2 linked regions of the Saccharomyces cerevisiae S288C genome follow. Each later gene encodes a partner of the first gene's protein in a complex. Each region holds a gene or a part of one and is shown on either strand. Other genes may lie near its edges. A codon is read from its position in the direction of its gene.

The links. The genes of interacting proteins can lie anywhere in the genome.
Region 2: the proteins of STE4 (region 1) and GPA1 are in contact, whole or in part, in a cryo-EM structure (PDB 7AD3), measured with the Saccharomyces cerevisiae proteins. Residues at the interface, in NP_014855.3 of Saccharomyces cerevisiae: Asn85 (codon at 2,197), Gly90 (codon at 2,212), His91 (codon at 2,215), Asn92 (codon at 2,218), Lys94 (codon at 2,224), Ser104 (codon at 2,254), Gln112 (codon at 2,278), Asp113 (codon at 2,281), Phe115 (codon at 2,287), Leu117 (codon at 2,293), Ala122 (codon at 2,308), Ser123 (codon at 2,311), Leu125 (codon at 2,317), Lys126 (codon at 2,320), Gln127 (codon at 2,323), Asn128 (codon at 2,326), Ala129 (codon at 2,329), Gln135 (codon at 2,347), Trp136 (codon at 2,350), Leu138 (codon at 2,356), Leu154 (codon at 2,404), Asn155 (codon at 2,407), Asn156 (codon at 2,410), Arg168 (codon at 2,446), Cys182 (codon at 2,488), Tyr183 (codon at 2,491), Asp224 (codon at 2,614), Leu226 (codon at 2,620), Ser248 (codon at 2,686), Asp272 (codon at 2,758); in NP_011868.1 of Saccharomyces cerevisiae: Thr7 (codon at 2,115), Gln8 (codon at 2,112), Thr9 (codon at 2,109), Ile10 (codon at 2,106), Asn20 (codon at 2,076), Lys21 (codon at 2,073), Ala23 (codon at 2,067), Asn24 (codon at 2,064), Ile27 (codon at 2,055), Glu28 (codon at 2,052), Ser30 (codon at 2,046), Leu31 (codon at 2,043), Gln32 (codon at 2,040), Glu34 (codon at 2,034), Lys35 (codon at 2,031), Asp38 (codon at 2,022), Lys43 (codon at 2,007), Thr301 (codon at 1,233), Gly302 (codon at 1,230), Ile303 (codon at 1,227), Glu305 (codon at 1,221), Leu318 (codon at 1,182), Arg324 (codon at 1,164), Ser325 (codon at 1,161), Glu326 (codon at 1,158), Lys329 (codon at 1,149), Trp330 (codon at 1,146), His332 (codon at 1,140), Cys333 (codon at 1,137), Phe334 (codon at 1,134).

What each region holds. Positions count from the first base shown.
Region 1 is NC_001147.6:740,966-744,761, forward strand, and holds STE4 (G protein subunit beta), read left to right. Parts: upstream 1-1,944; coding exon 1,945-3,216; downstream 3,217-3,796. Other genes in the region: dynamin-related GTPase MGM1, read right to left, coding at 1-604; SAS5 (Sas5p), read right to left, coding at 3,570-3,796. UniProt on the Saccharomyces cerevisiae protein: Implicated in the a- and alpha-factor response pathway. The beta and gamma chains of the putative yeast mating response pathway G protein play a positive role in initiation of the mating response.
Region 2 is NC_001140.6:112,785-116,785, forward strand, and holds GPA1 (guanine nucleotide-binding protein subunit alpha), read right to left. Parts: upstream 2,134-4,001; coding exon 715-2,133; downstream 1-714. Other genes in the region: Nem1-Spo7 phosphatase catalytic subunit NEM1, read right to left, coding at 1-310; protein transporter TIM10, read right to left, coding at 2,836-3,117. UniProt on the Saccharomyces cerevisiae protein: Alpha subunit of the heterotrimeric guanine nucleotide-binding protein (G protein) that mediates mating pheromone signal transduction.

The DNA.
Region 1 (3,796 bases):
CCACTTTATTCAAAATAGTTCTAATTTCAATCATTTGTTTGGTTAAGTTTAACATTTCGTCTTGCGTTGTATCTACAGAATCGTTTTCATCATCCTCGTCATCATCATCTTCGTCGTCATCATCTTTAGGATCTCCTTGCCTCTTACTTTCGTCATCGTCGAGTGATGTAGCGGCTATTAGAGTAGCAGTTGGCACCGTTCCATCGTTTCCATGACCACCGTCTTGTGACTTATCACCGGAAAACATTTTATTAAACTTTTCCTTCATCGATTCACCTAAATCCTTGATTCGATCTAGTTTGTCCTTAGTAAAAGAGCTAGCTTCTTCCATCTTATAAGCTATATAACTCCCTGCAGCAGCCATCCCGCCACCCACATATATGGGTAACCTAATAATTTTAGATATAATTTTAGGAAAATGTGATATCGATCTCCTGGTGATAACAAAACTCAAAGCATTGGCATGTGCTGATCTGTGAACATTGCTCATGCGGCTGTGTAAGTGCACCAACGGACTTTTGATGTAAGGAGAGCTATATAGTATCGCCGGATGCGTAGCAAGCTGTCTTCTCAGAATTAAAAGCCGTACTGGGCTCGCATTCATCCTTACTAATGTGTTATAGTTCGCCACTCTTGGGATGGCCCTTAATGAAGTAGAATTACTCATGCTTTCAGAGTATTATGGTGAATATGCGAGGCTATATTATAAGTACGAAAAGAATGGAAAAGCCTAAGAATAAAATGATATCTGTACTACCCAAAAAGAGGCTTTTTCGTGTTCTCCCGTTAACTGGTGTGAACCTTCCTAGCTGATTATGTCTTGCCTTTCAATAGAACGCTACTATTTTGTTTTTAACGGTACAAGGAAATATTAACAACTTGCATATTGATCATCGAATACGAAGCGCTGAATGAGGGTTAATTTCATAGTAAATCTTTCATGGACAGAAATATTTGAAATATATTTCCTCAAAGAGTACACTAGATCCATTCATATTTTAGGCTTCCTATGGAAACCGTTTTTTCAAGGATAAACCCCGCCATATGTTCTTTGCGAAGTCTTTTGCAGTTAAAACTAATTACAACTCTGTTATTTACTGACACCTGCGTTAAAATTTTATCACAATATGTCATCCGCTGAGAGAGATGTACTATTTATAATTACTTAAGAGCGACTACTTCATTTACCATTAGCGAGCAGAAGAACAGCTTACTTGTCGATGTTCTTCTCTGGCTAAATGAAATGTCAATTATTGAGATTGAGATGGGTATGTATGATCGGATTTTGATATCAGCCGATGAGACGAAGATTCAATAGCTTCAACCGTCCCTGCGGGGGGTACTTACCTTTTGTAACCAGTACCCTGTGCAAATTCTCGGCGTGTACTACCTCTTTTGGGACCACAACCCTTTGTACGCACTTTCGTCAGATGCAAATTTTTACACGCGTTGAAAAATGTTTCAGGAAGAGATACTGCGTAAAAAAAAGACACATGTGTTACGCAGGAAAAAGTTTGTGAGGCTTTTTGCCTTAACAGATTGACTTGTAGCCCTGTTAGGTTTACCCAACAGTTGTTTTTCTGTGTGTCGAAAATTTTTTCAGATTGTTTTCAACTGACACTTGCCTGTTTCATATTAGTTGTAACTTAAACTTTCAAACATAAAACTTTTTTGGAAGTCCATCCTTCACATGACTTGAATCCCTTCAATATCGAAACAGTATCCTCAAAATCTCTTATCACTTTTCTAATTGTTTTCTTCCCCTTTTTGTAGTAACTCGCTGTAAAGCACATTTTATTCATAATCTCCTTTGTGCCAGAACTCAAGGTCAATAGGCCAGAATTATTGGAAGGAAAGAGGGAAGAAAATACGATATTGCTAGTTCATTAAGTCAAGGAAGAAAATACTCAAAAAACTGTACAGCTCAATCAGGTACACATTACGATGGCAGCACATCAGATGGACTCGATAACGTATTCTAATAATGTCACCCAACAGTATATACAACCACAAAGTCTACAGGATATCTCTGCAGTGGAGGATGAAATTCAAAATAAAATAGAGGCCGCCAGACAAGAGAGTAAACAGCTTCATGCTCAAATAAATAAAGCAAAACACAAGATACAAGATGCAAGCTTATTCCAGATGGCCAACAAAGTTACTTCGTTGACCAAAAATAAGATCAACTTAAAGCCAAATATCGTGTTGAAAGGCCATAATAATAAAATCTCAGATTTTCGGTGGAGTCGAGATTCAAAACGTATTTTGAGTGCAAGTCAAGATGGCTTTATGCTTATATGGGACAGTGCTTCAGGTTTAAAACAGAACGCTATTCCATTAGATTCTCAATGGGTTCTTTCCTGCGCTATTTCGCCATCGAGTACTTTGGTAGCAAGCGCAGGATTAAACAATAACTGTACCATTTATAGAGTTTCGAAAGAAAACAGAGTAGCGCAAAACGTTGCGTCAATTTTCAAAGGACATACTTGCTATATTTCTGACATTGAATTTACAGATAACGCACATATATTGACAGCAAGTGGGGATATGACATGTGCCTTGTGGGATATACCGAAAGCAAAGAGGGTGAGAGAATATTCTGACCATTTAGGTGATGTTTTGGCATTAGCTATTCCTGAAGAGCCAAACTCAGAAAATTCTTCGAACACATTCGCTAGCTGTGGATCAGACGGGTATACTTACATATGGGATAGCAGATCTCCGTCCGCTGTACAAAGCTTTTACGTTAACGATAGTGATATTAATGCACTTCGTTTTTTCAAAGACGGGATGTCGATTGTTGCAGGAAGTGACAATGGTGCGATAAATATGTATGATTTAAGGTCGGACTGTTCTATTGCTACTTTTTCTCTTTTTCGAGGTTATGAAGAACGTACCCCTACCCCTACTTATATGGCAGCTAACATGGAGTACAATACCGCGCAATCGCCACAAACTTTAAAATCAACAAGCTCAAGCTATCTAGACAACCAAGGCGTTGTTTCTTTAGATTTTAGTGCATCTGGAAGATTGATGTACTCATGCTATACAGACATTGGTTGTGTTGTGTGGGATGTATTAAAAGGAGAGATTGTTGGAAAATTAGAAGGTCATGGTGGCAGAGTCACTGGTGTGCGCTCGAGTCCAGATGGGTTAGCTGTATGTACAGGTTCATGGGACTCAACCATGAAAATATGGTCTCCAGGTTATCAATAGCTTCGAATTGGAAATACTGTGAGCAGTAATTATCAATGGATGCTATTATATAAATATACATACCTACACCCATCCCATATTTACATAGAATAACAACAGTAACATTAGTTCTGTGGAAGCGCAAAAACGTCCTTTAATAAAGTAAGTCAAAACATTCAACAATGAAAATTCAAAGCATTGTCATTTGCTTCCTTTTTCTCTTTGGATAAACGAAACAAAAACGAACAAAAGTGTCATGCACTCAAAAATTCTTTTCAATCGTTTTGGAAACAGTATTATTCACTGACTTATTTGACCAACTTGCTAGAATCATCTATGTTTTCAGGCATTGTTTAATTTCATGATGGCTGTCCCTACTTTAGCTTGTTATGAGCCTTCACTGGCTCGTCCTTATGTATTGCGTCTGACCCAAAATTTGTCCTTTCTTGTTTAGTGGAATTTTTGTTCGGTAATTTCAAAAATGCCTGAATTTTCATTAACAAATCATCTGGTAGTTGTGTTATAAACATAAAAAACTGCTCCCTTCTGGGATGATTTTCAATTGCTCTCTGTACTGCAGGATCATTCAATATCATCTGAA
Region 2 (4,001 bases), on another chromosome or scaffold:
GAAGAAAAAGTAGTAGTGCCCACAAAATTGACGCTATTTTCTCTATTAGGATGGAACGTAAAGCTTTTGGTTTTTTAGGAACAGAATTTTTGCGCTCTTGATTTTGATCAGATTCTTTTAAGTGGCTTGAGGAGTGGTCGTACTGTTGGTCCACCTCACTAACGCAATCATTTTCGCTGTGGCTAGTATATTTGTTCGAAACTTCCTTTGAAGGGCCTAGTAGATCTTGATTCTTTGTCACCTCAACATTGATTTTTTTTTGTTTCTTTGTAGTTATTAAATGATTTGAGAAATATTTTAGGGCATTCATTCAATTAATGAAACAATGTCCAGAAATTAACAACAATAAAGAAAAGTGAGAATAGGATGCAAAATAGGTTCTATATATCCCGAGTATTTACCAGGGAGAAGAATTCGAGATAATACCCTGTCCTTACGTAGAAGAATCAATTGTTTTCAAGAGTTTTTCTTCTAAAAAAGTGTCTGGACCTTTTTTTTCTCATGCGATTTTATTACCCTTGTTTTTCAATTGAAAACCCGGAACGATTTAACGAGATCAAGAACTGTTGAACAAAATGGCTTTTTCATTTGGCATTCCATCATAGACTCTAATGGAGAAGAAAAATAGTAATTTTTTCTGGTGCTGCTGCTCCTTCTTGCATCTTCGGAAACAGAATTTACGTATCTAAACACTACTTTAATTATACAGTTCCTTCATATAATACCAATTTTTTTAAGGTTTTGCTGGATGATTAGATCGGTGACTGCACTCAATACGAACTTCATAGTTTGGGTATCGGTAGCGCAGGTTCGTTTCACGTAGATTGGTTTGTTTGTCTTATTCAAGCTCAAAAATATCTTCTCAAAATATTTTAGACCCGCTTCTGCATCGCCGACACGTCCCTGGTAATCAGGAAAGTACTTTCTTATGGGCATGCTTTTTACCTTTTCCTCGAACAAATCAATTTTATTTAAAAACAAAATAAACGGTGTATCTTTGAACCACTTAGAGTTCAATAACGTGTCAAATAGCATTATTGATTCATGCATTCTGTTCACTCTTTCATCCTCAAACAACATCTGGTCGTATTCACTCATTGCTAAAACAAATAAAACTGCTGTAATTCCTTCGAAACAATGAATCCACTTCTTACGTTCAGAACGCTGCCCACCAGCGTCGAGAACCTTGAATTTGGACGAGCCGATGTTAAATTCGGTTTCTGTAATGCCTGTAGTCTTTATACGGCCCTTCAAAATGTCTTCATCCGTACAGACATAATTCGGACTAGCAAATTTCTCAATGTTATCAAAGTAGTATGCAGCTGAGCCCTCCAATTGAAACTCATTAGAACGTGCAAAACACTGCTTTATACCTTTGTCGTTATTCCAAAGTTGCTTTATTGCCTTAGCAATGTCTTCGTGAATAAGATTTCGTCTATTTTGTCCTTGAATTTCCCTTGATGTTTTTCTAACAAACATCTGGTCATCGCCTTCTTGGTTCAAGTCCTTGCAAATATCCTGTAGGTTAATTCTACTACTGTTGTTTCTATCAGCATCCTCATTTTGCGTCACCGTTTCAGCATCTCTGTCAGTGTCACTTTTGACATTAGAAATATTTCCGTCTTCATCGAAAGCAGCTTTTGCTCGTCCGGTACTCTGAACACGCCTCCTAGTTTCATACCTTTCTGAGTACTTCAGTACATAATCATTTAGAAAATCAGAACCACCGGCAACACTGGCGTTGATATAATCTAAAGCTTTAGCCTTTAGCAGTATTCTCTTGCATGCAAACAAATCTTTATTGTTGATCGGATCATCACAGTCAAGTTGAATACCTAGTTTTCTGGCCTGAATAATCAAAATTTTCATTGATTGTATGGCATCTGCCCATATCACTTGAGCATACTGTAACCTTTCTTGATGGGAGAAACCGCCTTGATGTAATAATTTTAATTGTTTTAAAACCGTTGATTTACCTGACTCACCGGCACCTAATAGTAACAGTTTTATTTCATTCTTGTCACGTTGTTTCTCCAGCTGCAACGATTGCTCGATGACATCATTGGCTCTTTTGTTCTGTAGAAAAGGATCACTTTCGTCTCCTATTGTTTGCGTACTCACTGTACACCCCATTATTTCCTACCTTAATATATCAATTTATACACCTCTGGATTATTGATGTGATGCTAAAATACCAATTTACAGTATGAATAGCTTCTACTCAGTTTGGTCTTAGAAATGGTCAAAAATGTTAGAAACGGAGTGACAAGAAAAAATGAATAACAGATCAAAAGATTACGAATAATATAAAACGTAAAGAAATTGGTGGAATTCTACTATCCTCTTCATTTTAGACTATTTTTTAATATTTCCCTTTAAGGAAAACAATATGTAACAAAAAAATTTCTGCTCTCCATTTAATTGCATTTCTACAAGGAAGAATACGCAGAAGGACGCGCAGAGCCCTAAATTGATGTGCTTTTTAACATGCTGAGCCGAGTGCGTTTCGGTGAAATAACACGAAGATGCGTTTCAAATTGAAACTAGTCAGTGTTATCTGCATGAAAAGGGAATATCGTTATGCATTCAGTTTTCCAATAGAGACATTTTTTTTTTTTTAGATTCGGCTTGCTTTATCCACCTATGATCTTGTTTTCAAACAACATGTGCCATGTAAGATAAAAAGGTAAAGATGAAGTACAGAAAAGAGTATAATGTTACTTGTATATACAGGATATGAATCAATAATACTAATTATAACGTTGAGTCGAGTAAAACAGCTTATGGATTTCTTTTCTTATTTTCGTCTTATCATTACTGCTTTAATGCACATTTCTAAAACTTACCGGCTGCGTTAAATGATTGGCCCATTTTCTGCATGTTTTCACCGACTTGAACATTGGTCTCAAAATATTTGGCCACACATCTGTCTAGGCACGAAGATTCATTCTTATTCAGCTCACCCTCGGAATAAGAAGTATTGATACATTTTTTATAACAGTTATTAACCAATTTATTGAACATGTCTGTGACCAAATCTAGTTCAGCTTCCGCAGCTTGAATCTTTTGTTGAGATGATAATTGAGGCTGACCACCACCGAAACCTAAGAAAGACATGTTTTTCTAAGTATGATAGTTCCTTCTTTTGCTTGTTTATCTGTTAAAAGACATGAGAGGGGAACGAGGAGAGTAATAGTTCTTTAGAGAGCTTGCTCTTGTACGTTCACTGCCAGCTCTCTCGCTGAAAAAATTAAAGAAAAAAAATGTCCGATAGCTTCAGAGGGTGATCATCAGCTACGAATTGGGAAATCAATGCAAAAAATGCTTCCAATCGGATTTGAACCGATGATCTCCACATTACTAGTGTGGCGCCTTACCAACTTGGCCATAGAAGCTCTAATAGTGATAGGACCCAGATTATATTTAGTGACTTGTTGATAAATGTTTTAAAATATTACCTTCGTGTCGTTATCGTTACTGAGGAAAGATTTGCAAAAAATAATTACATACTTGGGCTCTTCTGAACGAACAAGTTAACCAAAAAGGTGTATATTACTTCCTCTTGTTTTGTTTCCGGGCTAATGCTTACCTTTCCTTTGTTTCCAATGTTCTTCTTTAACACCAAAACATACTATTTGAGAAATGGGTGAATGTTGAGATAATTGTTGGGATTCCATTTTTGATAAAGGCTATAATATTAGGTATACAGAATATACTAGAAGTTCTCCTCGAGGATATAGGAATCCTCAAAATGGAATCTATATTTCTATTTACTAATATCACGATTATTCCTCATTCCGTTTTATATGTTTCATTATCCTATTACATTATCAATCCTTGCACTTCAGCTTCCTCTAACATCGATGACAGCTTCTCATAACTTATGTCATCATCTTAACACCGTATATGATAATATATTGATAATATAACTATTAGTTGATAGACGATAGTGGATTTTTATTCCAACACTATTTGAGGTTTGGCAACTGTTGAAATTATTG